Linked DNA regions of Rattus norvegicus. The protein of the gene in region 5 purifies or fractionates together with the protein of the main gene of each other region. This does not show direct contact. Links are inferred from orthologs where the notes say so. Each region holds a gene or a part of one and is shown on either strand. Other genes may lie near its edges.

Region 1 (3,500 bases), on a different chromosome or scaffold from region 5:
CTTGCCAGTCTACGTTATTCTGGGGTATTCTGCCATCCGTAGAATTGGCGGCCTTTCACTGAACTGCTCTGTTCCCGTTAGTGTGTTAAGGAAAACCATATGCATCCTAGATAATCAGAGTTGACGTTTAAACTTCGTGGATAAGCCTTCAAGGGCGTGTGCAGAGTGCCGGGTGTGTGCTGCCTTCCTCTCCTGTTTTCTCTGGATTTACGTTGATCCTGAGTGCTGTGAGGCCTTGGGGGCAGTGACAGAATTCAGGAAGGTAGTGACTGAGCTGCAGGCAGATAGAGATAGGGCTCAGATGGCACGGTTGTGTGGGCTGTGCCCTGTGCTGGAATTTCCTCTCTCCTGGAAGGACTTTGAAGTGAGATAGAATTTTGTTGTGATAGATATTTGAGAGCCCCTCCCCTAGCGATGCCTTTCATTTTGGCTCCAATATTCAGATACAGCCTAACTTCTAAGTCAGGAGTCCTTTGGGCAGTTTTTGAAAATAAAAATAAGGCAAACCTTTCATTTCTTGAAAATGAAATTTAAAAGGCCCAGTCAGGTTGACAATAAATTATGAGTAACAGCATTAAAATGTTTTTATCACATAGAGTTCATGACTAGAGTGATAAACTCAGTGGTTAAGATCACCCGTTCTTCTGGAGGACCCGAGTTCGGCTCCCAGTACCCACATGGCAATTCATGACTGTCTGTAACTAGGGGATCCTGTGGGCTCCTCCGACTCTACATGTGCACGGCTCACACCCATACTGCAGCCACTACACCCAATGCTTCTGAGATGTGCAGGTGAAAAGGACAGGCACAGAGGTGCACTTTGAACTCGGCTTGACATTTGTAATCTTGCCAGGTACTGTTAGCAAGCTTGCTCTGTGGATTCCCTGGTTGCCAGGGTGCCCTGGGAAGTGCAGGTGACAGCTTGCATTGCAGGTACCTACAGTGCGCCCAGGGTCTGCCTCCTTGCCAGTCTTACTGAGCCGTCTTCCTCCTGCTGTGAAGAATTCATTTCCATGCTGAAGGGCTCCAGGGCTTTGGAGAGCTTCTACATACAGTGATAAAAACTGGAGAGACCCGAGAAGAGTTAGACAAAAGCAGAACACACAGAGGTGCTCAGGGAGACAGCAGCTCTGAAGAAGCTTTTCTTCCCACGGAACAGATGGTCACGTTGCTGAGGAGGTAAAGCTCTGTGCTCACATTGTCCCTGGAAACTTAAGGAAGTGGCTGCTTGGTTTTTAGATGTTTGTTTAAATTAATAGTGAGCCTCTGACTCACTGTGTCATCGTGGCCTGCACAGCTTTCCCTTTTGTACTTTAACTCACCCCCAAGTTTGGCGCTATGTAAGCAGGACTGCAAGACGACACACAGACACTCGAGTCAGCGGGCTGAGAGTGTGGGACTCTGCTCTTTAAGGACCCGGCAGCCCTCGGGGAGCATCTGACACTGCTAGGCGGCCACACAGAATTCGAGGGCCACTGCGGGTCACGTGACAGATCTTCACTGTATGTGCTGCAGCAGTGGTGCTGAACTCTCACCCTGTAGAGTGTACTGAGCCCATGCCTTACTACAGACCTTTTCCTAACTCTCACCCTGTAGAGTGTACCTGTCTCTGAGCCCATGCTTTACTACAGACCTTTTCCTGGTAGTTTTTAGGGTGGGGAGACTGGGAGTAGGAAGTTAGAGGGTGGGCAAGGTGAGAGGATTTTAGTTATTTATTAAGGAGCACCGTGATCCTGGAGGCTGGAAAGATGGTTGAGCTGTTCTTGGAAAGGACCTTGGTTCACTTCTCAGCACCCACATGACAGCTGTCATGTCTGTAACTCCAGCTCTAGGGGATCCAGTGCCCTCTCCTGCCTCTGGGCATACGTACAAATCGTTCACAGATACATACATGCAGGCAAAACACCTGTACACATATGATTAAAACTAAAAAAAAAAAACAAAAAAAAAACAAAAAAATTTCTTTTTTAAGAAAAAGCACTGTAGGGCTGGAGAGATGGCTCAGGGGTTAAGAGCACTGACTCTTCTTCCAGAGGTCCTGAGTTCAAATCCCAGCAACCACATGGTGGCTCACAACCATCTGTAATGAGATCTGATGCCCTCTTCTGATGTGTCTGAAGACAACAACACTGTACTCATACATAAAGTAAATCCTTAAAAAAAGAATGTAAAATAAAAAGATATTTCAAAGAAAAAGAAAAAGCACTATATATTTCTAGTTTGTAAAGCTTATAAAAGGTTTGGGAAATGGAAAGTTTTTTTAATTTTGCATAAAATTGAAGTTTATAAAATTTAACTGATATGTTTATGAAGTGCTTCTGTAGGTTTCTGCTTACCACTATTGCATAAATGTGTACTAAAAGGAATGAGAGTGTAGGGCCGGAGAGATGGTTCAGTGGGTAGAAGTGTTGCTGCTCTTCCAGAGGACATGAGGTCAGTCCCAAGCCTTCACACCACCTGTGACTTCTGCATTCCAGATGCCCTCCCTCCCTGGTCTAGCCTGGGCTCCTGCATGTATGCAGCGTGCATAAGTCATGCAAACTCACACACATACAGAGAATAAGTCTTTATCATCCTCTCTACATACAGAAGGAAACAAACCCAGAAGTGGGTTTCTTCTGTCGGTCTTATTTTCATCGCTTTCCTCATGCTGTGGTAAGATGCTTTTGCCTTGAGAGCCGGTGAGATGATGCGGATAGAAGATGTATATGCCAGAAAGAGCTTGTTTCCATGTTGATTTTTTAAAAATGACTGGAGTGCTCTGGTGGACCTGAGGGTTCCACTGGGGTTTGGTTGTTTTCCTTATTTGCAGATAAATGTGGGCCTGTGAGCTTTGTGCAGACTCATTTATACTTGCAGTCAGTGTCCCTTGTTCGAGTACACACTTTGTGTATTCTGTGGTAAGAGTCTTGTACCTGTCATCGCATGTTGAGCAGCAGTGCCAGAACACCGCGTGATGATGTTTTTCTGTCTTCAGGTCCCATGATGCACCAGCAGCCTCCTTCTCAGCAGTACAGCATGCCACCTGGAGGTGCGCAGCATTACCAAGGACAGCAGGCGCCCATGGGGCTGATGGGTCAAGTTAACCAAGGCAGTCACATGATGGGCCAGAGACAGATGCCTCCCTATAGACCTCCACAACAGGGTGAGAAGCCATCTGGAAAATTCCTTGCTTACTGTAAATGACAGTCATTGAAAGGCTTTAAGTTTTAATGTACTGTTCATCCTGGCTTTTGTTGCACTCCCCTGCCACCCACCAAGGTAGCAGGGTTTAGGGAACCCTGAGGAAGTCCTGAGGCATAGAGGAGCTTCCCAGCACATGGCTTCCTTTTGTCTGGTGTTCTCTAGGGAAATACCACATCAGAAACTTTTCTATCAAATTTACTCATTTACATCAGAAAATGCCCTCTCTCCCTTTTTTAGAAGTTACTAAGTATATGACAAAGAACAAAGCCAATTTTATATCAAAATGCCTTAATACTAATGTAACAAGTAAAAAG
Region 2 (4,298 bases), on a different chromosome or scaffold from region 5:
CAGACAGGGGACCGAGGAGCATATTTTACATCTGGCTCTCCCAGGATTCCTTAGTTCCTACCTGGCATACCCTAAACTTTCCAGCCCAGTGGGCTGCCCTTCCCCAAGAGAGTCTTTTCTATATAATCCAGACTTTGTCTATCTGTCTGTCTGTCTGTGTGTCGGTGTGTCTGTGTGTGTGTCTCTCTCTCCACCCTTTTCTCTCCCCATTGTGACTTCTCTGGCCTCTGTCCTTGGGGTCAACGAACTCCCCGGAGAGCAGCTTCCTAATAAACCTGCCTATATATAATCTAATCTGGCTTGCATCAGCTCACTTCACCATTAGAGAAATGACCCATCAACAGGAACGGGGCTGAAGCTACTGTCTAAGTAAAGAGAGGATACAGGAGCAAACGACAAAGGAGCACTTTGCATAGTCCGGGCCGAGGGAGCCTGAGGTCTTTTCAGAAAAGAACTTCCTTTATAACTGAAAGAGGCGAGAAATGGAAGCTAAGACAGTGGTTTCTTTAACTGTTGCCCACCCCCTACTTACCTCCTTGCTATCTGTCACAGGCACCCATTTGAATATCCTCAGGGACGTGTCACCCACAGTCACCCATTTCTTCTCCCTAGAAGATGAGCATTAATTAGGATTAATAAATCACATTTCTTGTTTGTTTACTAACTCTGCTTTTGTGTCTCAAGAGATTGTTCCTTTGATCTCGAATGCCATCAAATTACACCTGAAGGTGGGTTTGTATAAGAGGATGTAACCAGAGTAGGGATGAAAGCCAGGGGTTGGGGAGTGGGGAGGCTTTCACTTGCATTCTTGTAATTTTAGCACTTGGAGGCTGAGGCAGGAGGACTGCCACAAATTGGGGTTGGAGGAAGGCACGAAAGACACTGATTGTGGCTCAGTCTTAACAGGCTTATTAGCATGCACTGGTCCTGACTTTGATCCCCCGCAGACAGAAGTCAGGGAGGATGGTGGAGATAATTTCCAAGTCTCTCTAAACTAGTTTTGTTCATTTTCCATTTAAGGTTCCTCCAAAGGAAGAACAATCACCAGAAAGGAACAGGCAGCAATTGCATGCTGGGTCACTGAGATTACTCACAGAGAAACACTACAGCTTTGTAGCTAGCTGCCTTTTTTCTCTGGCCAGGAACAACAGTGGGAGGCACTAGTCTAGCCTGCCCAAGGCTATGGGCTCCATCCCCAGCATACAAACAAAACTGACCCCTCCCTCAACATTCTTCCTTGTTCCTCCTGAGGTAGAAATGTCAGATTTACCAACGTACTAGCAAAGTAAGAAAACGTTGAGTGGCTTTTACTGAAGATCACCCTAAGGCAAACTATGAAGGCCTCCCAGGTCTCTAAACCCAACCGAACCAAGTGTACCCTCAACTCATTCAGCATTTCTCCTGTGTGTGTGTGGGACTGAAGTACAGGTGTTTGTTAGCTGCCATGTGGTGGCAGGAATTGAATGCAGGTCCTCTGCAAGAACAGCCCAGGGCTTTTAACCACTAAACCATTTTCCAGCCTCCAAACTTTTCCTTATCAGTAAAAAATAAAAGGGGATGGAGACACTTGAGAATTACATAGGAAGCAGAGGCATGCCATAACCCAGCACCTGGGAAGCAGAGAAAGGCGGATCTTTAGTTCAAGGCCAGCCTAGTCTACAAAGTGAGTTCCAAAACAGCCAAAGGTTTTTAAGACACTGATTCAAAACAAACAAACAAAACAAACAAAAAAATCACTCTAGCGGCCTCTTAGCCGCTGGGGAAACTGAGGCAGAAGGATCACTGCAAGTGTAAAGCCAGACTGTAGTACTCGGGGAGATCCGGTTAAATAAACGAAACAGGGGTTGGGGATTTAGCTCAGTGGTAGAGCGCTTGCCTAGGAAGCGCAAGGTCCTGGGTTCGTTCCCCAGCTCCGAAAAAAAGAACCAAAAAAAAACAAAATGAACGAAACAGTAACGAAATTACTCGTCATTAAGTGAGGGGGAATGGCTCAAAGACTTGGTTCAGAACAGTTTAATGCAATGAAATCCTGACCATTTGTCCGTTAAATCCGGGTTTGCAGTAAGTATTTGCAGAGACGGAGTCCCCTGGGCGCCTAGAGCAAACGGGTGCGCTGGCTAAGGGCCCCAGATCTACAGATATAAGGGATTTGTGTTCCAAAAGTGCCGCGTTTGTAAACTTCCGCTTAATTTCGACCACTTATAGCGCATAAGACTTGGCAACAACGGACATCACTGGACAGTTGCGATGCGCAGGAGCGGAAACCCAGCTGGGAGCCGCCAAGCCGCACTTCCGCGAGGTCCCCGGCGGAAGTGCAACACTGCAGCGCCAGGTCCCGCCCCAGGCAGAGCGGGCCGGAAGCGACTAATGACAGCTAGTGGGAGGGGCTAAGAGCCGACTGTCCTTCTGATTGGCTACTGTGAACGCGGACTCTGACTTCATGCCGACGCCGGCGCGCCCTCCTTTCGCTTTTTTCCTCCGGCCCCCTCCCCCCAGAGGCCGGCCTCTTGGTTCCCACCCTGTCTGTACGTGTCTGGCGATCCTCCGCGCCGGGTTTCCCGCAAACCCACGTCAGCAACCCCCCCCACTCCCGCCCCTCACCATTTCCGCACTTTCTCGATGGCCGCCATCACCTTCTTGATGTCATCTTTGGCCCGGCTACGGGTCTCGGCCCGGACCGAACGGCCGGACATGGCGGCGGCGGGGAGTGGCTGGGGGCCGGGACACTGCTCCCAAGACGCGGGATATCACGCGCCTCACGCGTCGTCGTCCACCCGCTGCCACCGCAGCACGTCACCGCGGCCGTCGCTCGCACCCCCCCCCGTGCGCGCGTGCGCGGGGGAGCGCGCGCACCCTCCCGCCCCTTGGGCCCTTGAGGCCTCAGCGCGCTTGCGCACCCGCCCGGGGGCGTCCCTACTGTGCACCTCAAGAGACCCTTAGACACCTCACTGGGAGGCCGAACCTAGTGTCGCCCGCACGTGGTGTGTGCCAGGCGAGGCCGCAATGATGTTGGTGGGATGAGATTTCGAAGTCACCACTTTCCCAATCTACTGCTTCCTGGAATTTGCTGTACTATAGACCAGACCAACCTCGAACTTCAGAGCCACCTGACTCTGCTTCTCAGGTGTTGTGTGCCACTGCATTTGACTAGAAACTTTTGTTTCATTTTTGTTTTCCGAGACAGGCTCTGTGTATCCCTGGCTGTACTGCAACTCTCTTTGTAGACCAGGCTGACCTTGAACTCAGAAATCTGCCTGCCTCAGCCTTTGGAGTGCTGCGATCAAAGGTGTGAGCCACTGCACCATTGGGAAGAAAATTTTTAAGTATATATGGTACAGAGGATAATTTGTGGGAGTTGGTTCTCCCTAGTGAGTTTTAGGCTGGCATCAAGTCCTTTAAACCCCTATGACTCCTGGCCCTTCAAGAATTATTTATGCTTTTCATGTTCATGTAACTGGAGACCTGTGTCATCACTGCTTAAATAGCTGTGTTCCAGAGTCAATATCACACCTTTTTCTTTTTGACTTCTCGTCTTCCAATTCTTCACTACCCACCTGGAAATTTCTTCTGATTGAATAAACTACTTTTTCAACATCCGGCTCAAACTGCAGCTTGTCCTGAGTATTTTGTACCTGGCTCATACTTAGCACTCAACTGCCATGGAATTCAGTTCTGGATAACACACGGCTTATGTTCTGTGTATTAGACCAAGTACTGTGGATATAGAAGTGTTTCTCCTTTGAAAGAATTTCTGAATCAGGGATTATGATGAACACATTCAATCCCAGCATGCTGGAGGCAGAAGCAGGTGGATCTCTGAGTTCAAGGCCAGCCTGGTCTACAGAGTGAGTTCCAGGACAGCCAGGGCTGGGGGTTGGGATGGGAGGGGAGAGAACAAAAAGAAAAGAATCGGGTGAGTGAAAGCAGTGCTAACAGACAAAACAAATAGTAGGCATCAAGTGTCCTGGGCACTTGTGACTCAAAGCTGACATTACATGCTCCCATGGTGGTATTCATTTAAATGAACATTGAATTTTTTTAAAGATTTATTTATTTTATTTATATGAGTAAACTGTAGCTGTTCTCAGACACACCAGAAGAGGGCATCAGATCCCATTACAGATGGTCGTGAGCCACCATGTGGTTGCTGTGACTTGAACTCAGGACCTCTGGAAGAGCAGTCAGCGCTCTTAACCGCTGAGTCATCTCTCCAGCCCCATGAACACTGAATTTTACTTGCAGTTCTAGGAAAATCAAGAGTTCAGGATCATCCTTGACTACGTTGAAAGTTCGAAGCC
Region 3 (4,300 bases), on a different chromosome or scaffold from region 5:
AGTCCTCACCAGCATAGCCAGCCCTCACTGTATATGATCCAATGTCAAAAACAAGAGCGCCAACTTCATCTGAAGAGATTAAAAGAGAATTACAGAAGTGATTAAAAGAGAACTACAGATGTCTTTAATCCCAGTAAGGGAGGCAGAGGCAGACAGATCTATGAGTTCCAGGCCAGACTGGTCTACAGAGCTAATTCTGGAACTACACAGAGAAACTCTTGTCTCAACAAAGTAAAGAACATATTTTATGTATATAAAATGAGAATATTTAAAACTTTGTAAAACTCCATTACATAACACATAATTAGCTAGAATCTAGTTTTTACGATTGTTGTTTTGATATAATCAACCTCTATGTGATCTTACTTGTCGCAAAGTTCCTGTCTCTGACTCTTAAGTGGGATTAAAAGTATGCACCACAATGTCTGGCTTGAACCTAGTATTAAATATACCTTCAAGATTTATTTAATTAAAATATGGTGAGTCATACACTGTTCATCAGCGGAGGTTTAGTCAGGAAAGATATGGTACACTGACAGCAGGTAGTAGTTCCTTACTAAAGGGACTAGTTATAAACATCTATCATCCAGGTACAGAAGGATGAACAAAGGGACATGTCCTCATAATCCTTGAACTGAGAAAACAAGAAACTGCTAACAGAACCTAGGATTTTTGTGGGGATGGCTGTTGGGAGCTGTGGTAACAGCTGAAATGAGGCAGAGAGCTAGAACTGCCTATCAGGGAGGAAGGACCAAGCTCACAGCCTCCAGCCTTCAGGAAACTATAAGCCAGCATCCAAACTGGGACATCAGAGCTTAGAATGTAATTTATACAGGCCAAGTAAAAAGCATTTAATGAAGGTACTATTTAACTCACACATTCCAGACATTAGGGGATAGTTTAGTGATGAGAAAAAAAGCTGGCAATTTTTTTCAGTCTAATTCAGAGAAAAGCCTCCATTTATATTTTCCAAGTACTTCACCCCAAACAGCAGGCCTCCTAGGATAAAGTGCTAGTTTGTCAATGGGTCCCCTCCCAAAAAATTTAAAACACTAATCCTACTTACCTACATTACTCAACCTTAAGAAAAGTTCTATTCTCCAGTTAAAGCTACAAATCACCACAGCCACTCTATGCAGTTTAGTGCTAGCTACAAAGAGGCACCCAAAGAGAAACACAGAGCTATTTAGTTTAGACATACCCAGTTTAAGAGAAATTCATATTTTAAAAGGAGATGCATGTGCAACTGTTTGAATGAAAATGTCTCCTAGACTCTGATATCTAAACATCTGGGCCCCAGTTTAGTGCAATCTGTGGATATTTAGAAGATGAGGGCCTGATGTAGGAAGCTGTCACTGGGGACAGGCTTTGAGTTTAAAGCCCCCACCATTTTCAGTTTGCTCTCAGCTTCATGCTTGAGGTTGGATATGTGAGCCTAGACTCCTGCTCCTGCCACCATGCCTGCTGCTAGATGCCATGCCTCCCTCATACTGGACTCTTATCCCTCTGGAATCATAAGCTAAAGTAAACTCTTCCTTCTAGAAGTTGCCTTGGTCATTTTTGTTTTGTTTTTTAATCACGGCAACAGACAAGGGACAAATACACTATGTGAAATGTGTAATTTACTAACCTCTTTGCCCCAGTTTGGTCAGTAAAGAGTATTTAATACTTATCTCATTGGATACTATGACTAAATGTCTTCAATGTTTTAATGTATACTTAAAATAGTGCTGGTAAGCAATAAGCCCGATAAATATTAGCTAATAGTAGTAGTTACTCTTGTCACACTTCTTGCTAGGGAAATGACTACAGTTAGAGAAACTGCTACAGTTCGTTCTTACAAAACAGTACACAGCAGTTAAAATGTGTGGGCACAGATCTACTGACTCGATACATTTATAAATTTATAGTGTGAGTATACTATTTAACTCATTAGGGGTGCATGTTACAGGTACACGGCCGAGAAAGGAATGCCTTTGCCTCAATCCAGAAGCTATTTGCTCCCAATTTGCAAAGAAAGTCTTTTAACTTTGAGCTGGTTGTTTAACTCTTCCCAATGCTTTCTTCTTCGTTAACGTGCAGGATAGCAGCACCATCTCCTGTCGGCATCCACCCTAGCGAGGAGTCTCTAACTAGTTAACTACTTTTAAAATAAAACAAAACCAGTGCTTGAAAGCCTTGATTTCGTTATCGCCAATTTATAAAAAGACTCCTGGCCAGTTGGCCAGGGGAACAGCAGCCTGTACCTCAACGCTCCGCTCATCTAGGGACCAGGCACACCTGGAACGATGTCCAGTCGGAAGCCGCAACACCGGGCGCGACTCAGAACCAGTGCCCACCCGGAGGGCCCGGAACCTCCGCGAGCTTCCCGAGACTAACCCGCGGCGGAACCGGTACAGCGAGGGACCCGGAGTGCCAGGTGACTGCCAACAGAGTCCAGCCCGTCCTGGAGCTCCAGGTGTAAGACACGCCAAGGCCCTTCCTTGAGGCCATCTCGGAACCAGCAACAGTACAAGCCGGAAACCTACTGAGCGCGGGCCCTGGGTCCGAAGAGAAGGAGAGGCCATGGCCCAAACGGGGACCGGAAGCACCGGCCAAAGACCGGAAGGGCCCGCCGAGGACCGGAGGGAAACGGAAGAGACCAGGGACCGGGCCGGTCGTTCCGGCCCGCACGCCCCGAGGCGCCTCTGCGCTCACTCACCTCCGCCGTACACGCCGCCGCTCATAGCTACTGTTGGGCGGGGACTGGCCGAAGACTACTGGGCGAAAGATAACAGCGGCGCGACTCGACTCCCCAAGAATGCCGACCCCGTAAGCCTGCAACTTCCAACGCCGCCCCCTCCGGCAACAAAGCAGCGGCCGCACGCCCGCTGCACAGCCACTCTTGCTGGTTTCTCTTGTCAGCCAATGACAAGAGGCCCGGCTTAGTCTTTAGCCAATCAGAATGTGGTGCTGCTGTATCCCTGCGCGGTTTAGCCGTCTTGACCAATGGAAGGCAGCCATGGGGAGAAGCGACGGAAGAAGGGAAGGTGTTGGGGAACGGGCAGGAGGGGGCGGAGCTTCGCGGGCGGGTGAGAAGTGGGTGGGGCTTCTACACGCAGACGGGATTGTGGGAGGGGCTGCTTCGCAAGAGGGTGCGAACTGTGCTTCGCGCGCAAATGGAGTGGGAGGAGTTTTTAGGTGGGCGGGCGAGTGGGAGGAGCTTTGTGCGGGAGTGGACCGGGTTTCTAAAGTGAGTTAATTAGGTACTGGGAAGGGGCTTGCCTTGGGCCATCAACCGCTCTTGCTTCTGAAGTGTGGCCGCTCCCCAGGAGCCATGGGAACTTAGGCAGAGAAAGGAGAGTATCTGCAAGGAATCTGGAATTTGAGTTAGTTACCTCGAAGAGATTCCTGGTCTGGGATTGTGATGGATTTGGATTTTTTTTTTAAGCAGAAAAAACTTCAACTAACATTTATACTTGAAAAAGAAATGTGTACTACACTTTGAAGTAATCGGCAAATCAGATATAATAATCGGATTCATCATTTTTTAAAATGGCTATTATAATAAGAGATCATATGTTTTCCCAGCTAGATTCAGATAGCATTTAAAAATCATTACTTTGGTTTCTTTCATTTCTGTGAAAATCATTCACCAAGCAAGTGGAGCACCATTCAGAGAAACACCCGTTTGTAAATATATCCCCAATCTGTGTCTACTGTTCTTAGACTATGTTTCTATCAGTGTCCAGAACACTGTCCCCAAAACAATAAGTGCAACAATTTGTCCCTCTGCTTCTCTGGGCTTTAGTTAGCTTGATCTACATAACAAAAGGTCCAAAACTCAAGTATAATGTAGCTCTCTCTGTAACTGGTAGCAGTGCTTAAATTGAAGTGTCTAGTGCAAGCGTTACTAGCAACCTTAGAAGGGTTGAATAAAATTTCATCCATTTCCATGCCATCCAGGTGGCAGAAATTGACCTGTCATAGGGTCAGGAATAATGCAAGTAAGAAACCGCTTTCCTGTTCACTTGACACTGTGCTTTGAGCTCACAATGATGGTTCAGGTTTGGGTTTTTTGAGACAAGGTCTCATGGTATAGGCCAGGCTAGTCTCCAAGCTGTAATCCTCCTGCCTCTGCCTCCTGAGTACTGGAGTTATAGGCACGTGCCACCTTGGGTATTAGTACATTTTGAATGATTCAAAGATGTTTTTAAGAATGCTATGATACTCCCGTGTCAGAAACATTAAGCTGCTTTATTGGAGCATAGCCAGGCTTATTTGCCACTGTGACTGAAGCTATGTGCCTGGTTGAGCTGTA
Region 4 (4,268 bases), on a different chromosome or scaffold from region 5:
TGTACTGGGGTTGGGGATTTGGCTCAGTGGTAGAGCGCTTGCCTAGCAAGCGCAAGGCCCTGGGTTCGGTCCCCAGCTCCGAAAAAAAAAAAGAAAAAAAAAAAGCCAGTGTACTGTAGGAACACTTGACATTGTTAGCTGTCCATTAAACACTTGTGTGTACTTTGGGACTTCCTTTTGATTGTGGTATAGTTGAAGGTATGGTGCCTAGACAAGCTAAGGAGGGAAGGTCCTTCTATTTCTAGCTACCTCAGTGTAAGGAGGTGCCTGAGGTCAATGAGTTCAAAGCTTCAGGTTACCACTCTGACACAGGAGTTCCATGTATGGCTGGTGTCTGTCCCAGAACCCAAGGCAATAATGTCCTCTACCTGTGGCTCCTCTAGCTTCAGCTCAGGTCTCGGGTGAGACTGCATGAGTAAGAATGTAAGAAAGGTGCCTCTCTTTTACCCTACCCCACCCCGCCAGGAGAGAAGCTACACCAGCACTGAGGCTGCAGGAAAGTGAGAGAATACAGACTCTGCCAGGGCCTGCCGTTAATACTGCATACAGCTGGTAGCCATGTGTAAGCTTTGGGGATCTGTGTGGTTTCAATATGGTTGGCCCAGGGAGTGGCCTTGTTGGGGGAGGTGTGTCACTGTGGGGGTAGGCTTGGAGAGACCTTCCTCCTAGCTACCTAGAAGCCAGTCTTCTCCTGTTTGTCTTCTGAAGAAGATGTCGAACTCTCAGCTCCTCCAGAGCCATGCCTACCTGAATGCCATGATGATAATGGATTGAACCTCTAAAACTATAAGCCAGCCCCAATTAAATACTGTGCTTTATACGAGTTGCCTTGGTCATAGTATCTCTCCACAGGCGTGGAAACCCTAAGATAGGGTTCCATTGAGCCAGGGTGTCAAGAAGTAGGTCAAAAGAACTGTGGGATCCTGGAGTTGGAGTTACAGACAGTTCTGAGCCTCTATGTAGTGTAAGCTTAGGTTTTTCAAAGCCTACTTTATTTAGGGTTCTTAAATGCTTCAACCTCCCTTTTAGCCCACCGACGAGAGGTAGGGAAAAAGGCAGATTAATAGGCAAAGGGGGTTGCGGACAGAGGTACCTAAAGGACTGGGTACCTCCCTGACCTTTCCAATCCTTCCCTGTGAGTCAATCATGTGTCTAACGGTCAGCTAGGCAGGACACTGTTGCTCCTTCTAGCTCATCTGCCTGGCCTATTCACTTACCTTTCTCACTTTCCAACCAAGCCTTCCTGAGGCTCTACTAAATGGAGGGGAGACAGATCTCCAGAATGAGCTGCAGAGGGCGCATAGTTTTCCAATCGCGCCTGCGCATCGGGATCCCCTAGGCTCCAGGTCGGGTCGTTTTTTTTTTTTTTTTTTAGCGCTCGCCCTCGTGAGCCTGTGCGTGCGCGCACCCTCGGGCTGCGCCTGCGCAGAGGATCGAGGACCGTGTGTCCTGAGAAGGCTTAGCGCCTGCGCGTTGCGGGCTTCGGGGCCTCCCGGCCTGAGGGAGAGGAACTGGGAAGATGGCGGCTGTGGTGGAGAATGTAGTGAAGCTGTGAGTGGTCTTCTTTTTTCTTTTTCTTTTTAAAAATCTCTCCTGTACAGGAAATCTTGTAATGGGGCCTGGGAGTAGAGAGGGAAGTGCGGGAAGAGAAAAGACAGAGAGAAGGACATGCCCGGGAAGTCCTTGCTGTGCGACTGCTGGTAGGGAGGGCAACAGGAGACTCTGGAGAAGGCGCTGGGCTTCTTTTGGAAACTTGTGGAGACCGGGAGGGGGGCACACTAGAGTCCCCGACGAGCGTCCTTCTCGCGGGCCGAGCCCCGAGCGGAGCTGCGGACTGCGAACGAGAGGCTCACGGTCCCTGGCCCCTCAGTCCCGTCGCGCTGAGGCCGGCGGCCCTGGGAGATCGGGGTCCCCTCTCCGCCCACCGCCCTCCCTGGGACTACAGGCTCCGCCGTACCTGCTGGGATCCTAAGATTTAAGCAGCCCGGTGACATTAACCGGGAAATCCGGGGTACACGAAACTAAAACTGTTCTTGGGAAGAATTGTTCCAAGAGCAGATACAGAAGGGAAAGAACTTCTGGGAGTGGGCAACTAGACCGGAACCAGACGGCCTTCTGGTCCGCAGGAGCCCCGAAGTGGGCGTTCTCTGTACCCTAGATGCCATTGTGCGGGTCAGATTTCGAGCAGAGCTGAAGTTAACGGTTGTTGGGAAACACTGGGAACGGGGACTGGCCTGTTAGCCGCTTCCCCCGAGTTAGAGGTGTTTGGGGTTTTGATGAGTCTCCTCCTTCCTTCTTGAAGAAGAATCGAGAGTTTTGGAACGGGGTTAAAAATGCCCGTTGGGCTTAAGAATGGCCTTTTCTTCCTTTAATGGCCATGTTGGGCGTGATGTAAGAATAGAAAAATGGAAGTGTTCAGGTGTCCAGTCAAAGCTTTTGGATTCTGGATGGCAAAGTAATGGTTTAGGAACTATTCTGGAGGACTTTTCGCAGCTTCATCTGTCTTTGTCGTGGGCTGAGCCCCCATAGTCCCAAGAGGCTTTTTTTTTTAAGGTTAAGTTGCTTCTCCCCCGCTGCTTGGAGCCCTTTTCTTCGAGAATGCTTTCCCACCTCCATTAAGCTAAGTGCCTTCTCTTGTGGCTTTTTTTTTTTTTTTTTTTTTTTTTTTACTTGCTTTTGGCTTCATCCTGCTGCCTCTTTCAACCACCCCTCCTCCCAACACTATTATCCTTATGATCTGCCCCCTCCGGCTTCCCCAGCCCTCTTTAGGCTGACATTTCCCTTAATTTAGAAATGAAGCTGTTAATTTAACATTTTTATGGTTCTCCTTCTAGACTCAGCTGTTAGGTCTTTGTTACTCTGCCTTTCTTTGTTGACCTCCCCTATTCCTGGTGGAAGGGGAGTTGTCCTGTGCCCCCACTCCTACCCCACAGGTTTCCTGTGAAAAGAGGAGCCACAGCTTTTACCCTGGAAATCTTACTTTCTAGAAGAACGTGTTGCCTAGGTTTTCAGAATTACATGTTAATGGAGCTCTTCATATTGAAAGATGGTCTTGCGGAGAATGGAGTTGCCAACCCATTGGTGTAGTATTTTAAGTGTTGGTTCCCATTTAAATAGAGCAGTGCTGTTCCTGCCTCTTTAACCAGTCAATGGTTCCTAGTGTCAGCGAGGTACTGAGTTGATTCTTCCCATTTCTAGGTGCAGAAGACTAGACATCACTAACACGTACCTCACAGAACTTTCCCTTTATAGAGAAGACTTTGATTCTCACACCATTCTCACTTTGGAAAGATGCCTTTCTGATACTTTCTTTTTTATTATAGTGTGCTTAAGTCTTCTGGCAGCTGACATCACTCATTGAGGGAAAGACCACTAGTTCATCTTTTTCTTTGATTTTTGCCTTGTGAGAAGACTTTGTCTTAATTTTCTGCTTTTCTCAAATACATTATCATGGTTGACATAGTCTTTAGAGTATAGAGTAAATACTAGTCTAAAAAATAACCATGACTACCAACTAGTTTTTAAAACTTTATATGAGTTATATAAGGCTATCTGTAGAATAACAGAAGCTTGAAATTTTTTGCTACAGAGTCTTGAATTCATGTATTCTCCCCTTTGCTGCTCTCTTCACACACACACGCACACGCACATGGGCACACATACATGTACATAATTTCTTCTGGCCATTTCTCCTACTAGAGCACTTGCTTCACCTTCTAGAATCTTACCTGACCTGCAGGAGCCGATTGGACATTCCAGTCATTCCTCCAGGCCTTCTTCAGCCTCTGTGCTTTGACTTTGCAGTCTTCAGCCCCACTGGGCTGGTCCTTCCTTCCGTTTGACTTCCAGTGTCAGCATCAATTCCATCAGCAGAAACAAAGGAGCTGCTGCAGTCAGCCTTGTTTATCGGTTTTTCCTGTGTGGTAAGGACAAGGCTGCCTCCTAAAGGCGAGCAAATGTGAGCCTGCTCTCTTCTGTGCTGTGCGCTCCAACACATTCATACCTTAATTATAGTTATTACTGCTCACTGAATCAACTCAGGCTGTACTTGTAGTGTTGCTGTGTGTGTGTTTTTATTAAGCTATGCAGTGGTCTCCTGTGACTGCTCAGTGAAAGTCCCTATCAGATCCTACGTTAGTGCTTGTCCATACAGCTTTAGTTGTAGGTATTGGCCACTGAGACTGAGACCTTCTCCCTCTTGCTTTTCATGCCTCCTTATCCCTACTATCTCCATCAGAATCCTGGCAGGCCAGAGATCATCTAATCTA
Region 5 (4,206 bases):
CAGAGATCGCACAGGCGGAGGAGCAGGCCCGCAAAAGGCAGGAGGAGAGGGAGAAGGAGGCAGCCGAGCAAGCTGAGCGCAGCCAGGGCAGCATCGCCCCCGAGGAAGAGCAAGTGGCGAACAAAGCCGAGGAGAAGAAGGATGAGGAGAACATCCCGATGGAGACAGGTAACCGCCTCCCCAACCCAGGAAGTGTGAGGGCCCTGACAGCCGGCATTCTGCCATTCCCTGTCTCTCTCAGAGCAGCATGGTGGCATCAGTCTTGCCGTGTGAGCTCTTGGTAGTACTCAAGTGGGGGTGGCTCTGGAGACGGGCGTGCAGGGCCCTGTCTGTTTGCCCATTGCTGACACTGACTTTGCTGAGCTTTCTCTCATCTCCTCATTTGAACAGCTACTTGCTGCTGGATTTGACATAGGATTAATAGGCAATAATACTTTAACCTTTATGGCTACTATTTACATAAGATGTGTCATGGGCCCGAGATTTGTCTTAGTCCTTAGATGGCAAAGTTTGACTAGAAGATGGCCAGACTCACTTGTTGTGAGTCACACTACATGTGACAGCTTTGAGGTGACATGAGAGAGTGTGTGTGTGTGTGTGTGTGCGTGTGGGTGTGGGTGTGCGTGTGTGTGGGTGTAGTTTGGGACTTGAAACAGACTTCCTGGCCAACAGCCTTTAGTGATGACCGTCTAAGCCTTACATGTTGGTGCCAACCGACCTCAGCCTACTGTGCTTTTTTTTTTTTTAAGATGTATTTATTGTATTCATATGAGTACACTGTAGCTGTCTTAGACACACCAGAAGAGGGCATCAGATCCCATTACAGATGGTTGTGAGCCACCATGTGGTTGCTGGGAATTGAACTCAGGTCCTCTGGAAGAGCAGTCAGGGTTCTCAACCACTGGGCCGTCTCTCCAGCCGGAACAATGCTTTTTGATGTTTTGGTTTTCCTGAATAAAGGCATTCCTCATGGTTTGGATTTTTTTTTTTTTTTTTTAAAGAAAAGAAAGGTAAAACTTAGATCAAATACTGATGAACTTGGTTGTTCTTGAAGTTTTCGAGATCACCTTGCCTCTCAGCACGATTGACCCTGCCTAGTGGATAAACAGGAGTAAGCCAAAAGTAGTCAGGGGACACTAGCACTTGCTGGGAAAAGGGACATGGGCATACTCTGTACTCAACAGTAATTCCTGGCAGTGTTTAAGGAAACGTCAGTATCTCTGCCAGGCATTTACACAGTATTTAACTCAGTGGGTTTCCTTTCCAGACAGGCTGGTTTTAGTCTTCATTGTCTGGGCCTCTTTCTGGTTTTGTGAACCCGGTTTTGGTTTTTGGTTTTGTTTTGTTATTTTTTTACCATAAATTGGGCGAACCAGAGTGTGGTTCTTTGCTCATCTTGCAACCAAACCATGTCTTCAGTCTTGAGTCTGTTTTGCCCCAAATGAGGTTTGTCTCCCTCTGACGGCGTCTGGGTGTCTGGGATGTTTACTGAGATGTCTGTCTGCTAGCTTAAGGAAAGAAAACGGAGGGAGAACTGAAGGGAAAAAATTAAAGATATTAGAACCTTGTGTTCAGTTTCCTAAAGGAAGTGGCCAGCACCACTTTAAACAGAGCATCTGCTTCTTTCTGTGCCTTCATTTTGTGTATTTCAGGCAGGATCTTGCTCTACTGTGTTGTCTAGGCTGGCCTCAGACTCCGGAGTGCAATCTTCTGGTGCCACCACCTCTGGCTTCTGGCTTCCTTTTAATGTTACATTTAAACCAAGTCTCCAAAAAAATATTTACATGTTATAAGATTTTAAAAATTAATACTCTAGGCTAGACAGAAAGCTTAGTAGACGGACCTGAGCGCATATGGGAAAAGCAGGTTACATCCTCAGGATCCAGTACAGGAGCTAGAGATCAGCAGATTCCTAGGGCTCATTGCCTGCCAACCTGGCCTACCTGGTTACTCCCAGGTCAGTGAGAGATCCTAAAGTGGACAGTTCTTGAGGAACAGAACACTTGTGGTTCTCCTCTGACATGCGCACACATACAAGACTCTCGCTGTCTTACATTCTTTTATTGTATCAAATCTTTGAAATCTAGCATGTATTTTATATACTTCTTTTTTATTTATTTTTATTTTATTTACATTAGTGACTTGACTTCATGTATGTCTGTGTGAGGGTATCAATCCAGATCCCCTGGAACAGGAGTTACAGATAGTTGTGAGCTGCCATATGGGTGCTGGAAACTGAACCCCAGGTCCTCTATGGAAGAGCACCCAGTGCTTTTAACCTTTGAACCGTCTCTCCAGCCCCTCTCCCAAAAGCTCAATTCTCACCACAAAAGTGTTTGATATGTATTTAAATTTCTTAATACTGTAGGTAAAAATGTAGATTTTCGCACCCTGAGTTGTCTCAGATATTCATGAATATTCCTGAGTCACAAGACTGGCTCATTTCACTGCTTGCCACGTGTGCCTAGTGGCGGTCAGACTGGACAGGTCATTTAATGCCGTCAGCAGAGTTAGAGTGAACGGAACTGATGGTGCAAATGTGTGGTTACAGAGGAGACACACCTTGAAGACACTGCGGAGAACCAGCAGAATGGTGAAGAAGGCACATCTACTCCTGAGGACAAGGAGAGTGGGCAGGAGGGGGTTGACAGCATGGAGGTGGAAGGGACCAGTGACAGTAACACCGGCTCAGAGAGCAACAGCGCAACGGTGGAGGAGCCGCCCACGGACCCTGTGCCAGAAGACGAGAAGAAGGAATAAATGTTGCCTTGTTTTATGTGACCTAAAACTTTTTTTAAATGAAAAAAAAAATGTGTTTTTTTTGGTTTTAATGGTGTTATGTGGTCTGTGTATTATTTCCATTGATACCGTGAAGGTCTTCAATAGCATAGCCTAATGCCATCTGCTCACCTTTCTTAGCTCTCAACTTCTGAAACCTCAGAACTGAGATCAGTCGAGAGACCCATCTCTTTGAGAACCACTTGGATGCTGCAGAATCTGCTCTTCCAAATGCCTTCCTTCAGCTCACTTGGGTGCTCATCAAAGCCATAGCTTTAACCCCTCCCAGACCAACTACAGCTCTCCGAGTCCCCTGTCGTGTGTATTTATACAGAGTGCCCTCTTTATCTCTGATATCAGACACCAGGCATCCTCTTACAGGGTAGGGTGTAGCCTGAAACCAGCGAAACACAGATGAGACTGTGCAGAGATGGCCCTGGAGGGGCCGGGGGAGTAGTTACTGCTGTGGATTCTCATTAGGTGAGCCCTGCACGTGCATATCCATATCTGTGCAGTTATTATGGGATGTGTTCTGGGAAATTCATCCTTATTGTACAGGGGGAAAAGAAATGTGTTTTTACCAGATTGGTTTTCCAAAGACATGATAGACAGCAGAGCCTAAGGAATGGGATATTCTTATAATGGACTGCAGACTTCAAAGTGATTGGCCTATTGCAAAAGGAAAACAGGAACTACGTTCATCCACTTGAGCATACTTCATAGTGATGAAAACCTCAAGGCTCGAGATCCCATAGATCAGAGCCGAACCTACTTTTTTGATAAGCCCTTTAGTGGTGTTAGAGACTAGATATGAGATAGTTTGTAGTGCGTGCTCTCTGATATCTAGAATAGATTTTTACTGAATAGTGGTATATATGATGTTATATGTTTCTTAAAGGCCCAAACATAATAAAGAAATTAAGACAAAGGTCTCAGTGTTTTTATTGCACTGTAAAAAATCGACATAATTTGGTCCCTATGATACCAGGACATCATGGAATGACCCACAATCATGAAATGTCTGTCACTCATAGGAAGCTTGCCTCACGAACTGTCAGTATTAACAGGACTGTGAAGGAATCTGTTTGGTGTGGCTAACGAGTGAATATAGCCTGTGCTCATGGGGGAACCGTACCTGCACTCCCCACTTAGTGACTTACACAGCAACAAGCAATTTCCTGAGAGGAAGCTTGATGTGTGGGGTCATCCTTAGGCCAGTTTTTCCGTGGTTCTGCCCTTCCTTGAAAATCAAACAATTTTTTTTTTCAAGACAGGATTTCTCAGTGTAGCCCTGACTATCCTGGCAAAAAAACTTATCTGTGAACAGGTCTGTTTGGGGTTTTGAGCATGGAGAGCTAAAAATTCAAAAAATGTCTCATCTTAAATAAATTGGATAACCACAGATAAAATCCTCTGGAAGGTGAGATG
Region 6 (3,500 bases), on a different chromosome or scaffold from region 5:
ACAGGCTTGTGCCAGCATGCTTGCTGCAGGGATCTGAACTCAGGGACTGCATGGCAAGAACTCCATGCACTAAACATCAGGCCTTTTTATTAATTCTTATGCCACAAGAAGTTCCAATACTATTTTTATTTTCAAAAATTAAAATGGCTTCTATTATATGTCTTAAACATTTAAAAAATTTAGGTGAATGGGTGTTTTCCCTGCACATATATCTTTGCATCACTTACATGCCTAGTGCCTATGGAAGGTAGAAGAGGGTGTCAGGTGCCCTGAAAATGGAATTACAGATGGTTATGAACCAGCATGTGGGTGCTGGTAACCACACCTAGACCTTCAGAAAGAGTAGTTAGCCCTCTCAACTGCTGAGCTATGGTTGCAGCCCCCTGCTCTATTTCTCAATAGAGCTCTGGGCATGAGGTAAACTCTATGGACTCCTGCCTCATACACATGTGTCGTGGGCTACATCTTCCAGCCCTCAAAAGCAGAAGCTCATGTCAGCAATGGGGGAAGAAAAAGATCTGCACACTTCTCAACGGACAGAGTTCCTGTAATCTACAAGACACATGCTCTTTAGAAGACTCAGTGGACTGCATGGGACCACAAGAGTGTCTCTGGATTTAAAGACCTCTTAAACCGAGAGACAAAGTGGACACTGACATCATGACAGTACTGCGACATCCCATGACTCTAGAGCATGTTCACTAACTATCAGTCACCCGACAAACATTACCTGAATGAAACCTGGTGTAAAATCTGGCTGTGAGATACCTCCCCTTTCCTCTTTATTTCTATTCCCTAGTACTACACAAGGAACCATCTCTTAACATGCTAATCAAGGAGCCACCTCAAACCTGGAACACAGAATATTCGCACCCTAGCCCTTCCCTTTCTTTGTACCATTCAACCTCTCTATTCATCCTCCAACCCTCTCATGAGACTTTGTGCCTTTTTGGGTAAACTCTGGCCCACAAAATTTCTGACACAACTTTAATATGCTACGTCATATTTCCTTAAGTATTGGTCTTATCCTAACCACAAGATTTAAAGCTCTTCAATACAGAGCTCAACAGTGCTTATTACTCATGTCTATGGTGACTGTCAGCACAGCTCTCAGGGGAGACAACCCAAGGACGTCACCGAGCAGCTGTTGTATTATGAACTTTCCTGCGTGCACATCTCCAATTCTTCACATGAAAACTGAAAAGATTATCAGTTCCCTAGAAAAGCATAGATACGGGCTGGAGAGATGGCTCAGAGGTTAAGAGCACCGACTGTTCTTCCAGAGGTCCTGAGTTCAAATCCCAGCAACCACATGGTGGCTCACAACCATCTGTAATGGGATCCTATGCCCTCTTCTGGTGCGTCTGAGGATAGTGACAGTGTACTCCTATACAAAATAAATAAATAAATCTTAAAAAAAGAAAAGCATAGATACGTCAGAGGTTATCTTCATGAAGGGCTTTACTATGCTGTTCTACAAAAGCTGTTACTAGGAAAAGCGGTCATTAGTATTTACTTTTCCTTCAAGGTCTAGAGCAAAGATCTCCTAGGTGGAATTAAACAGCCCAAAGTTCCAGCTCTCAGTACTTCAACATTGTAAGCCACAAGAAGGCAGGATTTACTGTCTTCAAGTTAAATGTAACCGAGCACCTATAAGAGCATAGAGAACTTACACTGTGGTTGCTGGATTACACTGGGTATTCTTTCAGTAAGTGCCAAAAATACACATAGGCCAAAAGGTTGAAGGAATTTTAGTAAGTGTAAATTTATTCTTTAAGCCATTTATTGTCCTACATTAAGCTCTTAAGCTGATAAATAAGATAAACAACAGAAGCCCTTCTTAAGTAATTGAAATAGAGATTGAGGGGTCTAGAGAAGGAGCACTGGTGTTCTTCCAGAGGACCCAGGTTCAAGTCAGAGCACCCACATGGTAGGGAACCATCTGTAACTCTCGTCCCAAAGAAACACCTTCTCTGGCCTCTGTGGGCACTGGTTATACGGGCTGCATACACATATATGTAGGCAAGACATCTCAGTACACATTACATAAAAATAAGTACGTTTTAAAAAAAGTGATTGGCTTTAGACCAGTCTATCCTCCAAGAATCATTCTAAGCTCTTTAATTCATTTAAAGCATTCTTATATTTTTCAAAGAAAAAAACCTCTACTCTAGTTTCTATTACAAACTGTATACTGTTCCTTTAAAGACATCTTCTGAGAAGGCTGCACTTCAGGTCTCTGGCTATGCCAGTGTGCAAGTGCTTCAGGTCTGCCTCCCCCTCACTGGCACTCAGTAGTGCTCTTCTCTTCTTCTTCTCTTTTTAAAGATTTATTATATATATGTACACTGTGGCTGTCTTCAGACGAGGGCACCAGACCCCATTACAGATGGCTGTGAGCTACCATGTGGTTGTGGGAATTGAACTCAGGACCTCAGGAAGACTAGTCAGTGCTCTTAACCACTGAGCCATCTCTCCAGCCCAGTAGTGCTCTTTCTACTTCATAGAGTACATGTGCTCTTTACAAGTGTGGTGTTGTTTGCTTTTTGTAGACGCACTTTCTCTGTGTAGCCTTGGCTGTTCTGGAACTTGCTCTGTAGACCAGGCTGTCCTTGAACTCAAGACATTTATTTACCTGCCTCTGCCCCCTGAATGCTGGGGTTAAAAAGTGACTACCGTCCGACTCCCTCTTTACAAGTTTTGACCCCTCCAACACTGTAAAGGGAGGAAAAGGCAGATGTTTTGCCTACCAAGAATTCAGGATGAAGGCTACCTACTATAACCATGCACCACAGAGATGCCTATCACAGCATGACTCCCTTACCTGTTTTGTAATAGAAATCACAAGGATTTATCATAAAGAAATGGCTTGGAAAACATACCGATTCATCCTTCTGGCCCTTTCCAATACTTCAAACATATGCTCCTGAAATAAATCGAGTCGCCGATATCGATTACTTTCAACATTCTTCCTAATAATGTCAAATGTAAGGGGAGGTCTGCTGGGAAAGTTCGGATCCACAGCAGGAATTTCTGCTAAGGAGTCACTGTAACATCTTCCTTCATCATCCTGATGACTCATGACGGACACAAAGAGATTATGGATAAGTTCTTGAATCAGCAGGGTCACGTTAGGGACATGAGAATCCTCGTCTCCCTCCAGGTCTCTCCGAGTTTCAAGGAGGACTTTATGGAGGACAAGGGCATCTTTGTAGATCAAAGATTCTGGCTCATTGTAGGTACAGGCATTGTTAAACATCATCACGAAGTCCTCCACCATAGAATCGATATCTTGGTACTTGTTTGCCATCATGTGACTTCGGATTTTTTCCATGTCCATGGGCTTTTTAATGGTCAGATAGTAGTCAGGCAGCTCTGACCTGGAGGGGAGTCTTAGAAATATAGCACTGAGGCGGCGGCCCCTCTTGTCAGTATAGTTCTTCACGGCTTCATACACTTCGTTCAGCTTCTGCTGCATTGGAGTCATGTACTTGGATTTC
Region 7 (3,500 bases), on a different chromosome or scaffold from region 5:
AAATAGTGAACGTGGCCCTTCTTGTCCACACTATGATGTCAATAAAGAAAAACTCCTCAGAACCAGAAAGCAACTTCTCTCACCTCTCTAGTCAGCCTTGCTCTTAAAAACCAACAAAACCATTCCAAATGCGCCAGGCTCCACATAGACTCAGTCTCAAGGATGCCTATCTTTGACCCAATACTCTCTCTACTCTGTACTCTCCCTGTGGGCCGTACTCAGAGGAATGTTTCTTGAATGTAAGTCAACAGCAAGGTCCATTCTCTTAGCCCCTTTATTTTTTTTTTTAAAGATTTATTTATTTATTATATATAAGTACACTGTAGCTGTCTTCAGATACACCAGAAGAGGGCATCAGATCTCTTTACAGATGGTTGTGAGCCACCATGTGGTTGCTGGGAATTGAACTCATGACCTCTGGAAGAGCAGTCGGGTGCTCTTAACCGCTGAGCCATCTCTCCAGCCCCTCTTAGCCCCTTTAGAAACACTGTCTGGTAGGTCAATGGCCTCCAGGGAGCCATGGGATACCTGTGGTTGAGGATCCGGTGGATCATCATCCACTCCGGTTTTATTCCATAGCGATAGAAGCGCTCCTCCATCTCTGCAAACTTAGGGTCCTTGTTCTTTCGCTTTCGGCTCTTCTCCTCATCTCCACCGAAGTCCCCAGAAGGCGGCTCATCCATATCATTCTTCCGCTGGTAGTTTCTGAACATCACCTGACAGTGCAGCTCCAACTGGGAGCAGAAAGAGAAAGGCGGCCACCCTGGAGCTGCATCCGGCCTCCTGCTCTTACCTCTGCACTGTCACCTCATACATGCAACTTGTCCCAGGCTTACCTGCAATTCTGACACCCAGGAGCAGTGCCAGTAAGACATGCCTTGCCATTTCACAAAGAACTGCCTCTCTGGCCGCCCCTCCAAGGGTTTGGGAGATGGAGTATTAGGATCAGCATCTGGAGGCCGAGGCACTGGTGTAGGAGATGGTGGCTGGCCCCACTTCCAAATTAGGATCTTCTGCACTTTGCCCTTAAGAGCTGGACACTGTTAAATAGAAACCACTTAATCTCAACTCAAACCACAGGGCTATGCATAAAACTCTCCAGGAACAATAAATATCAGTGTCTATGGGTAGGTGGTTAGAGCACTTGCTGCAAACACGACAGCAGGAGGTCAAATGGCCAGCATCTGAAGAGAGGGCTGGTCTCCCAAAGGAACCAGACTAGATACCTGGCATCCACTGTAGCTAAGAATTATTGTTCCAGGGGATCCAATGCGCGCGCGCGCGCATACACACACACACACACACACACACACACACACACACACACACACACACACACACACACATACACACACACACACACACACACACACACACACACACACACACACACACACACGGCCTACTGCCATGGGAAGGGAGACTAAAGGATCACTAGAGCTTGCTGCTGGCTGCCAGCCAGCTAAGCTCCAGGTGTAGTGAGAATCTGTCCAGGGTGATACGGTGGGTATCGGAGTACAACACTGCTGCTGTCTGGCCCAACACCAAGGCCTGGAGCCCTGAACACACATGTACACATACAATACTCGCGAATGAACTTTTTTTCTTTTCAGGTAAGTCTCACTCTAATAGCCCTGGCTGGCCTGGAATTCAATATATAGACCAGACTGACCTTACACTCACCAAGAACTGCTTGCCCTGCCTCTGATGGAAAAACTACAAAGTGAGTTCCAGAAAACAAAATAAATAAAATACTTCACCTCAAATAAAATCTACCCTCACAATCATCCCTAGGCAAAAACCACTAGAACTTTCTCTCCTCTTTGGATATTGTCACAGAGCTAGAAAGAGTCAAGAAGCAAGCTATACAATAAACCAGAATAGCTAGGCACACACAATTCACAGAGAGAGAGACTTGAACCCTTCCCTCTCTTGAGCAAGCTGAATGCAGTAAGCTGGCTCTGGGGCAGCCATGGCTACCGAGAGCTAAGGTGAGACACCCAGGCTCAAGTGAAGCTGGGCATGGTAACCTCAGCTTTGCTCCTCATTCTTGGGAACATGAGGTACAACAGTGAGTTCAAGGCCAGCCTGGGCTGCAAATGAGTTTGTTGCAGCATTTGTGTGTAAGAGCTAAGTTACAGGACCAACCTAGGTGTACATCAACAAAAGAATGAAGAAAACATGGTGTCTTAATACAATTTTTCAGATATAAAGAATAAAGGAGCTGCTTTCCTTTACAGGAAAGCTGATAAAAATGGAGATCATAAAGCAAAACCACATATGTACAGAGAACATAAAAGTAACACAAGACAACTAAAGAAGAGCACAGGCCGGGGTTGGGGATTTAGCTCAGTGGTAGAGCGCTTGCCTAGGAAGTGCAAGGCCCTGGGTTCGGTCCCCAGCTCCGAAAAAAAGAAAAAGGAAAAAAAAAAAAAAAAAAGAAGAGCACAGGCCTAATGGGAAGGGGACATCCTTAGTGCAGCAGGCAGGCGGATCTTCCTGCGTTCAAGGCCAGCCTGGTCTACATACATAGCGAGTTCCAGGACAGTCTGGGACTCACAGAAAGGCTCTGTCTTGTAACATCAAACACAAAAACAGAACTGTTCTTAACCACTGAGCCATCTCTCCAACCCCCAAATTACAAGTTTTTAAAGACAAGATCATGTGTGATACTCCTGCCTTTAATCACGCAGGACACCAAGACAAGAGGATCACCGTAAACTCAAGGCCAGCCTGAGCTACATACATAGAGTGAGTTTAAGGATAGCCTGGACATCAGTTCAAAACACCAAAAATCGCAGCAGCAATCAGAATGACAGAATGACTACGACTCTACTGCTTCACCTGCTTAAGAGGAGACCGTTCTTCTCTTCAGTTAACCGCATTTACGCGGCAGATGATGGCCCAAGACTAAGCACTTTCTCCTGTCTCAGCTAGAAAATCTCTATGTCTCCAAAGACCTCTCCCCAACCTAGGCCTCATAATGCCTACCAGAGAGCAGACCCTTGTGCTAGTAAATGGCACTGCTCCCCTCTCCCACCCTCAGTGAAGAGTCACTTACAGTACAGCGGGGACAGAGCCATTCGCCATTTGGGATCTCTGGCAGCGGGGGGTTCAGACAGTGGATATGGTAGGAAGAAGGGCAGGTGTCACAGCATAGTAGTTCCCCGCCATCCTTGCAGACTCGACAGAATTCCATATGGTGGTCATCTTCCTCTTCTGGGTCTCCCCCAACTTCTTCCAGAATCTCTTCACCCTCAGAATTGTCCTCCTTAGCTTCCCACTGGATACCCTCCTTCTCCTGAAATAAAAAACCAGAGATTCAGATTATTACCACCCCACCCCACCCCCAGTCAGACAGCCAAGGACACTCCCATTTTTATTCCCACCTTTGCCCTTAGGGGGACCCAGAGGCCACAGTAGCCAGGCACTCACACAGTGTGGGCAGCTCCACTTGCCCTCGGGGGCCTTCTCCATGTCTGGGTCCAGGCACACCATAT

What was found.
Region 1: the proteins of Smarce1 (region 5) and Ss18 purify together in Homo sapiens (affinity purification with mass spectrometry; 4 studies listed by BioGRID and IntAct, counting the BioPlex papers as one, with this or other methods). This does not show direct contact. The link is inferred for Rattus norvegicus from reciprocal best matches to the Homo sapiens genes SMARCE1 and SS18.
Region 2: the proteins of Smarce1 (region 5) and Bcl7b purify together in Homo sapiens (affinity purification with mass spectrometry; 3 studies listed by BioGRID and IntAct, counting the BioPlex papers as one, with this or other methods). This does not show direct contact. The link is inferred for Rattus norvegicus from reciprocal best matches to the Homo sapiens genes SMARCE1 and BCL7B.
Region 3: the proteins of Smarce1 (region 5) and Actl6a purify together in Homo sapiens (affinity purification with mass spectrometry; 9 studies listed by BioGRID and IntAct, with this or other methods). This does not show direct contact. The link is inferred for Rattus norvegicus from reciprocal best matches to the Homo sapiens genes SMARCE1 and ACTL6A.
Region 4: the proteins of Smarce1 (region 5) and Dpf2 purify together in Homo sapiens (affinity purification with mass spectrometry; 9 studies listed by BioGRID and IntAct, counting the BioPlex papers as one, with this or other methods). This does not show direct contact. The link is inferred for Rattus norvegicus from reciprocal best matches to the Homo sapiens genes SMARCE1 and DPF2.
Region 6: the proteins of Smarce1 (region 5) and Pbrm1 purify together in Homo sapiens (affinity purification with western blotting; 9 studies listed by BioGRID and IntAct, counting the BioPlex papers as one, with this or other methods). This does not show direct contact. The link is inferred for Rattus norvegicus from reciprocal best matches to the Homo sapiens genes SMARCE1 and PBRM1.
Region 7: the proteins of Smarce1 (region 5) and Chd4 purify together in Homo sapiens (affinity purification with western blotting; 3 studies listed by BioGRID, with this or other methods). This does not show direct contact. The link is inferred for Rattus norvegicus from reciprocal best matches to the Homo sapiens genes SMARCE1 and CHD4.

The regions. Positions count from the first base shown.
Region 1 is NC_086036.1:6,061,414-6,064,913, reverse strand, and holds part of Ss18 (protein SSXT), read left to right. Parts: intron 1-2,977; coding exon 2,978-3,145; intron 3,146-3,500. UniProt on the Homo sapiens protein: Appears to function synergistically with RBM14 as a transcriptional coactivator. Isoform 1 and isoform 2 function in nuclear receptor coactivation. Isoform 1 and isoform 2 function in general transcriptional coactivation.
Region 2 is NC_086030.1:27,143,832-27,148,129, forward strand, and holds the start of Bcl7b (B-cell CLL/lymphoma 7 protein family member B), read right to left. Parts: upstream 2,801-4,298; 5' UTR 2,694-2,800; coding exon 2,602-2,693; intron 609-2,601; coding exon 533-608; intron 1-532. UniProt on the Homo sapiens protein: Positive regulator of apoptosis. Plays a role in the Wnt signaling pathway, negatively regulating the expression of Wnt signaling components CTNNB1 and HMGA1.
Region 3 is NC_086020.1:117,419,231-117,423,530, reverse strand, and holds the start of Actl6a (actin-like protein 6A), read right to left. Parts: upstream 2,801-4,300; 5' UTR 2,727-2,800; coding exon 2,702-2,726; exon of another isoform or gene 2,529-2,701; intron 2,371-2,528; exon of another isoform or gene 2,247-2,370; intron 70-2,246; coding exon 1-69.
Region 4 is NC_086019.1:212,625,490-212,629,757, reverse strand, and holds the start of Dpf2 (zinc finger protein ubi-d4), read left to right. Parts: upstream 1-1,468; 5' UTR 1,469-1,519; coding exon 1,520-1,551; intron 1,552-1,859; exon of another isoform or gene 1,860-2,011; intron 2,012-4,268. UniProt on the Homo sapiens protein: Plays an active role in transcriptional regulation by binding modified histones H3 and H4. Is a negative regulator of myeloid differentiation of hematopoietic progenitor cells. Might also have a role in the development and maturation of lymphoid cells.
Region 5 is NC_086028.1:84,654,968-84,659,173, reverse strand, and holds the end of Smarce1 (SWI/SNF-related matrix-associated actin-dependent regulator of chromatin subfamily E member 1), read left to right. Parts: coding exon 1-168; intron 169-2,551; coding exon 2,552-2,760; 3' UTR 2,761-3,706; downstream 3,707-4,206. UniProt on the Homo sapiens protein: Involved in transcriptional activation and repression of select genes by chromatin remodeling (alteration of DNA-nucleosome topology).
Region 6 is NC_086034.1:6,268,433-6,271,932, reverse strand, and holds part of Pbrm1 (polybromo 1), read right to left. Parts: coding exon 2,883-3,500; intron 1-2,882. UniProt on the Homo sapiens protein: Involved in transcriptional activation and repression of select genes by chromatin remodeling (alteration of DNA-nucleosome topology). Required for the stability of the SWI/SNF chromatin remodeling complex SWI/SNF-B (PBAF).
Region 7 is NC_086022.1:159,591,318-159,594,817, reverse strand, and holds part of Chd4 (chromodomain-helicase-DNA-binding protein 4), read right to left. Parts: coding exon 3,436-3,500; intron 3,302-3,435; coding exon 3,062-3,301; intron 2,444-3,061; exon of another isoform or gene 1,041-2,443; coding exon 837-1,040; exon of another isoform or gene 735-836; coding exon 529-734; exon of another isoform or gene 31-528; coding exon 1-30. UniProt on the Homo sapiens protein: ATP-dependent chromatin-remodeling factor that binds and distorts nucleosomal DNA. Acts as a component of the histone deacetylase NuRD complex which participates in the remodeling of chromatin.